Drosophila melanogaster: one gene and its partner. The protein of the gene in region 2 interacts with the protein of the main gene of each other region in a pairwise test. Each region holds a gene or a part of one and is shown on either strand. Other genes may lie near its edges.

What was found. Proteins that work in one complex are often made in the same cells at the same time.
Region 1: the proteins of CG5180 (region 2) and myd interact in a two-hybrid assay, tested with the Drosophila melanogaster proteins (one large-scale study listed by BioGRID).

The regions. Positions count from the first base shown.
Region 1 is NT_033777.3:19,178,669-19,182,423, reverse strand, and holds the start of myd (mayday), read right to left. Parts: upstream 1,766-3,755; 5' UTR 1,308-1,765; intron 1-1,307. Other genes in the region: CG5555 (uncharacterized protein), read left to right, coding at 2,004-2,019, 2,244-2,297, 2,365-2,713, 2,776-2,946, 3,014-3,755.
Region 2 is NT_033777.3:20,555,895-20,559,649, reverse strand, and holds the start of CG5180 (uncharacterized protein), read right to left. Parts: upstream 1,721-3,755; 5' UTR 1,599-1,720; intron 1,407-1,598; 5' UTR 1,253-1,406; coding exon 1,059-1,252; intron 1,001-1,058; coding exon 454-1,000; intron 390-453; coding exon 63-389; 3' UTR 1-62.

The DNA of each region.
Region 1 (3,755 bases), 1.4 Mb from region 2:
TAATTTCGCACTAAATATGCTTGGCAGAAATGCTCTTTAAAAACATTACTCATTTTATTGAATTTGCAGGCTGGAACAAACAGCTTTAAGCCTAATTAAATATTCTCAGTAAATTGCTTTTAATAATTGATTACCTTTTAGGATAAGCGGGGTAATTAAAAGAAGCTCAATAAATTAAGTATTTATTAGTGTTTCCTTCAACACAAAAGGTGTGTAGCTGAGCACACTTTGTTTAAAAGTAAACATAGTTAAATTAAATAAAATTTTATTAGCGAAAGCTGATGCTAAGAAATTTTTGGGAAATCAATAAACTATTTAGCTTTAGTTATTTACCGTTTGTTATATATAAACTGTGCATAATTTAACAGCAAGAGGGAAACAAAAAACCATGGTTTTGCCAACTTTTTTGAGTCAAACTCGGTTTATGTAAACTGAAAACGGATTTTGGCTCCGCTGCAAAAACTGGTTGGCAGCGTTTCGTTCCGTTCGCCTTGCGTTTATTGCATACAACAATTGATTTTCTTCCGAAGGCGGAGAGCGGAAAAGCGGGACGGCGAAAATGCAAATGAAAATGGCAGAGTGCTCAGCGCCGTTGCGGGATGAATGTCAGCGAGGGGGCAATACATGTAGTTTCAAACAAACTTCAAATTGGCGAACACAAAAGCAGCTCTCAGACACACACACGCTTTACATAGTGAGACGCCGAGTGGGTGGAGTGAATGGAGTGGATGGAGTGGGTGGGTGGCGCTGGGAGGTGCCACCTGCTGGCTGGGCGAGTGCAACAAAAATGACAAACGTGCTTTTGATAGACTTGTTGACGACAAGCTCCTGGCACTTGGCAGCTGTCAGCAGCAACCCAGAAACGGGCTGACGTCCTCACACACGCATGCACTGGCCCAAAAAAGCGGCACCATGGAGATTATATTATTTATAAATTAGATTTTGCATAGAAAGGTTAAATTTACTTTCACTTAAAAGTGGTGAGAGCGTTTAATATTAATATTTGGCAAGGAAACGCAAAGTTTCATTCATTGATTGAGTTAGTTATGATTGATTGATGAAATTTAAGGTTTAACTAATATTTCAAACTACAAAGACACATAGACAGTAAAGACACATAGACACATAGTAATAGACAGTAAATATATTAAAAGAGGTAATTCAGCACAAATGTTTCTCACTGTGCACCCACGGCTATTTTTGATCTCCGGTCTTGTTTGTTAGCATATGAGTGCGGTTGTGAGAAAGGTGAGCCAGTTGCGAATTTGGTAAGCAGGTTTATGGGCGAACCCCTTAATAAATAATACCAAAAATCAATAGGTTGACTCCTTGCGATGACCGTTTTTACGGCCGCGTCCATACATTGAATGTTGCACGTGTGTGTGCGGTTAAATGTACTTTGTGGTCCAATCTTGGTAATTGCAATTACAATCGACTTTGGTCCGCCGCGCCCATGGTAATCAATTTGTTGTGTTAACCGCGGGCGCAGCCCATGGTTACTGCAGCAAACGGTATGGAATTAAATCACAAAAAACTATTGCACTCACTTTTGCTTTCGCTTTTGGTTTTTGATTTGTTGCAATTTCCTTTGGACAGCCTTTTTGTTTTGCTTCTCTTTTATTTTGACTTGGTTTACGCGCGCGGGAAAGAACGAGATGACGACGTAAGTTTCGTAAACTTGTTTTTGTTATGGCCCAAATCACGGATGACGCGAGTCTGGCTCACCGAACACGTCCGATACGCAGCAGCAACAGCAACGCACTGGCTTTGTTTTGGCCAACTCGCCAAGCGGATCCGACCGAAGTGGCCACAGCCGAAGTTGTCAAGCGAAGCCGACAAGTTGTATGTTACTTCATAGCACACTGTTCCACAGGAAATCACTTTTATTTTATTGGCTCCATTCACTTATCATTTCATACGAGTAAAAATATACATTTTCTCTATTGGCGATGAAAATCTGCTAAACCGAGCACGAAATTAATATTTTAATCTTTTGAATTTCGATGGACTTGAATCCAGGTACGTTACAATCAGTGTTGGTAGGCATTATCGATAAGCGATTGTTGAACTAAACACTTTTGTCGCGAAGCAATCGATGGCCGTTCACTCCGCGCGAACTAGTTCACATAGAAAAATAACAAACTCATTTCGCACAGAGTAAAATAGAAAATTACACTTTGAACGGTCTTTAGGCTTTTTTTTATATATAAAAACTAATGAAAATTATGCCCGTGTCATGCTAGAAAACATTTCCCTGTGTGTGATCAAGATCGAAACGGATTTGGATCCCAGTGCAGGTAAAATTCAATGCAGCAACGATAGCTTCGGACAAAGGAAGTGCATTAATTCTATATTTTCGAACAGATTCTGAGGGAGCTGTGTCCGCCGAACATCCAACCAATCCCCGAGTGCTCAAGGAGCGGGAACGCGACCGCGGACTTCGCCAATCCCGCGACATCACCATCGAAACGTACACAAACCAGCGTTGGAAGCGGGAATTGAGTGAACCCAGACAGCAGGAGATGAACTGGGTAGCCGCCGTGCAGCATGTGAACAGCCCCTCGGCGGGCAGCTCCCGGGAGATAACTCCTCGGAGCGGCGATGATGGCCAGGCGGGAGCCAGCGCCTCCAACTTTCCCCAAGAGATAGGGTACTTCTCCGGCAATCCCATCGTCGAGGTGACCAAAGGTCTTATCCATCTCTACAAGAAAAAGTGGGTTAACTCTGCTCTATCCTACTAAATATTTCACTCACCATTATTTCTGTATGTTTCAGCGAACGCAAGGCCATCAAGGAAGCTCCATCTAACCAACTCTGCCTGCTGGCCGTGCCGGCCACTCTTAACTGCCACGATCTGCTGAACTTTATTGCCCCCTGTCATGCAGAGATTAAACACATCCAGATTGTACGTGACGGCAGCCCCAATCAGTTCATGGTGCTTTTGGAGTAAGCGGCGTTCCAATCTGACATTACAGATTCACGGATATTTACTAATATAATCACACTCTTATAGATTCCGCTCGAATGAATCCGCTTTGGAGTTCTACAAGTCCTATAATGGCAGTACTTACAACTCACTGGAACCGGACTCGCTGTGCCACGCGGTCTGGGTATCAGAGGTGGAAAGGAGCGAGCATGGAGCACCACCAATGGGACACACCGAGCTACCCACCTGTCCAGTGTGCCTGGAGCGCATGGACGAGAGCGTGGATGGAGTGTTGACCATATTGTGCAATCACGCCTTCCACGCCAGCTGCCTGATGAAATGGGGTGACTCCACCTGTCCGGTGTGCCGCCATGTTCAAACTCCTGGACTGGTCGAAGATTCCGTGTGCATGGAATGCGAGGGCACCGATTCCTTATGGATCTGCCTGATCTGCGGACATGTGGGCTGCGGACGCTACCAGGGAGGACATGCTGCTGCACACTTCCGGGCCACAAATCACACCTTTGCCATGCAGTTGGGCACCTCAAGCGTATGGGACTATGCCGGTGACAACTTTGTGCATCGCTTATTTCAAAACAAATCCGACGGCAAGCTGGTGGCATCGCAAACCGAGAAAGATGAGCGCGAGGAAAAGATTGACTCCATGCAGATGGAGTTCACATACCTGTTGACCTCTCAGCTGGACACACAGCGCAAGTACTATGAGGAGCGCATGGAACGATTGGAGCAGGAGTGGCAGAACCACAAGGCGACTGCCAACGACGCCAAGACAGAGGTTTCCGAGCTTCAACAGCTTCAGCAGAACATG
Region 2 (3,755 bases):
CAGACAAAATGGAGATATAAAGCCAGAGACTACACATACTTAGTCTAGGGGGACAAGAGAGATTACTGCGTGAGGGCCGAGTGAACGGTGAGGTTGCCCAGCTGTGCGTTGAATAGAACGTCGCTGATCAGTTTCTCGGCCACGATCCGCTGCGTCGGGTTGATGGAGCGCAGTTTGCTCGCCACATTCACGCCAATGGCATCGTACTCGTCGTCTTGCCGGTGCGATGTGCTCGTAGCCGCTGTGGTGGTATAGGCAGTGGTGCCGGCATTGCCAAACAATGGCTGATAGTGATCGCGGCCTATCTGGATGGTGGGAACGCCCTGATGTTGGCCATTCGTCTGCTGCAGGTGGAGCTGCTGCTGGTGGTGCTCCAGATGATTGACCGCCTGCGTGGGGAGAGGAGGTGATTGAAGACCCTAAGGAACTCTTCACTGCTTTGGAGCTACTCACTTGTTGTATCTCGCGCTGGGAGTTGGAGTCTAGGGAGGTGATCTCTAAGACCTTCACGGCATGTCCCTGAGCCGCCGCCGCCGCAATGGAGGTCTGGGCTGCTGCATGGGCTACCATTTGCTGGTGTGCTTGGGCTGCGGCTGCCGCTGCTTCGGCCGCCTGGTGCTCCTCGCTCTTGACAAGGGTCACACATTCCGCGGGCGTCACCGAAATGGTGCTCAGAGTGGCGCCCTGACTGCTGACGACCACATTGTTGGCCGTCGCCGCGACTTCTTCCACATCGTCCGGGGACGTGGGTATTATGGACTCCATGTGCTGAGACTGAGTGCCCGTGTGATGTGAGTCGTCCTCGAACTCCATTGACTCCTCGTCGTCGAAGCTGATATGGAGTTCTCTCTTGGGCTTGGAGCCGAGTTCGTGGCGCTTGGGCTTGTGGTCAGCGATGAAAAGCAGCTTGTCGTAGTACCACAAACGCGTTGCGTAGTCGCCTTTGGTACTCGTCTTGCGGAATTCCCGCCGAAAAGCGGACCGCAGTGAGTTAATTTTCCTGTAAAGCGTGAATTGTGTTTACTGAACTGTGGCACATTTGACATGGAAATTCTCACCTTACTACCATCGCCCTGTCCGGATTGGGCTCCACTTCTTTTAGCTTCTCCACCAGGCGATCGTAGGACTTGTTACGGGCTGTGTGATTGCTGTAGTCGTTGTGCTTGGGCTGCCAGAGGCACTCCTCCTCTTGGTACTGCTCGATAAACTCCGTGAGCCAGTGGCGTGAGTACGAACGCAGGTCTAAGTTCATGGTCCCTTTCACTCGCGTTTTATTTGGGGTTTTCTCAATTAACTTCAGCTTAGTATTTTTTGTTTTCGCTGCGTCTCGCGTGAAGTTGGCTGCGCCACAAACGTCGGGGCGTTGCCAACCCAAACAAATCATCGCGGTCGAGATGGTATCGAGCCTGCATTTTTGAATATAAGGAGCAAAAATTTAAATTAGGCAAATAAAGTAAAACAACTTTAGCCCCTTAAATAAAAAGTGATCGACTTTAACGTTAAATATGACAAAGTGCATACAAATTCTCTAAAACTGAATAGCTATGTGATTCATTATCCGTTTCATTACAATTTTAAGCCAGGAAATAATGATTTACCCTTTGTATTGCATTTATGAGTGATACGGCATATCTATTGCAAGTCAAGAATATATTTTGTTTAATAATATATTTTAATGTTTATTTATGTTTAATATTTTGTTTAAACGAACTTGTATGCCAGTGAATAACACAAATATCTGTAGCACTTGTTGAAATTATTTACAACGTTTTGAAAGGGTGCTTTCTTTTACAATTGACATGACGAAACAATGACATAACGGCTCTGGAACAAATTTTATAAACAATTTTTGACAGCAGTCCTCTCTTAATTTGCACCACTGTGCCACAGTTAGAGGGTTGCGGTCTGGGCTTACCTCCAGCGTGGACTCCACCCACGCCGTCTGGCAGCGCAGTCAGCATGGCAACGCCGAGCGCAGTTCTCGATGTTTTTGTCAATTGCTCTTTGGAGCTTCGCAGGCGGAGTCCGAGAATCGCGCGGAAAATGTGCATTAACAAATAGAAAAATCCGAAATAAAGACAAAGAATTAGCTCGCGGTTAAAGAGAATACAGCACCTGTGTTTTTGGAATCGAAAATCAGTGCGAAACGCCTACCACTGCTGTGTGTTGTTGTTATTGTTGCCAAGGCCGAAGGAGCGAAAAGGGAGGCCGAAAAAAAAGAATCTGTGCTAACAAAAACAAAGGTGCGTGTAGGGCCAAACACACATGAAATCGTACATATGTACGCATATGTATACGTGTGTGTGTTCAAAATAATTTGTTGTTCTCGTTTTGCCCAATTATATAAGGTGTCCGTGTGTGAGTGGTCTTTTTGGGATGTTGCAAGCGTTTAATCGGTGTAAACAAGAGCGAATAAATGGATTGCCAAACAGTTGGTGCACAGTGGCCTTTATCGCAAAGTACTTAAATTTAAGAGAAACAAACAACAACACTTACAAGCAACAGCTGTTTTTCATTCCCCTAGGCGCACTCAGTCCAATCAGAATTAAGTCACGTATGATTCTTATAAATCAAATCCAGTTTTGTAAACAACAAACAAAAGTATTCCGAATTATTGTTCAAGGAAATAAATTGGCTAGAAAATCGCGCATGTGAAAGTGCACTTTCCGAGTAATTTGCATAAATTTCCATTGCCCCATTTGGTTTTTGTTATTTTCCTCCAAGGGGGTACAAAGTCCAGTTGGAATGATGTTGTAGCTGCTTTACTATCTACATCCCGCATCGACCCCCCCCCCCCCTCCAACGGGCTATTTATAGCAAACAAATTTCATAGCCAGAAGCAAAGTGGAAAACACTTGCTGGATAAACTGGATCCGTAGTAAGCCACAACCTTGACTGAGTGCAATAGCAGAGAAAAAAGTGCACAAACACCGCCTAACGAGCTTGTTTACGTTTATCAAGCGCCGGCAACAACAGCATCCCAGTGCACAGTGGTCGAAAAGTGTCGTTCATCGCTCGAATTCCTTATCAAAAAATTTGTTTATGGAGGGGGCACATATCAAGAGGCTGTGCTAAAATCACACTTAAGCCGCAAGCAAAGGCGCGGAATATTTGCTAAACTACTTTTGGCCCAACTTTTCAAGATAGAAGAGCTGAAATCGCTAGGTACAGTGATTACTTGTACCAGAAGGTTGCATTTGAAACGTATCAGCCTATAAAATCAATATAATTTAGTTAATTTCCTTAATCTTAGTAGTTGCTTAGTAGTAGTTAGTCGACTCACTTCTATATAATTTAAAAATAGTAAAATATGCTTACTGCCATCCTTAACCAGTATCCACTGTACAGCTCAGATGCTCACGTTCAAGGTTGCACTTTTCCACTCATTTGCAATCGCATTGATGAACGCTCTCGGTTTTTGCTCCCAAAGATTTCCCGCACCGGCTGCTCAATGAAAAGCGTTTAATTTTAGCCGCGCTCAGCTGTTGAACTTGGAAAAGTGCCCAACCCCCCAAAAAAATCGGTAATCAAAACACACGTGCTGTCATATTCCGCACATTCGGGCGAGCTGAGCTCACATTTTAATATTTCGGCATGATAATTGTTTTGGAGGTGTGTGCCACACATAAACAGGTACATATATATGTATGTACATATATATACACTGGGCACTTACTTATGTACATATGTACATATATCAACTGATAATTCGGTGCCTTTTGCCTTCCATAATGAGCAAACGAAACCAACCGGTT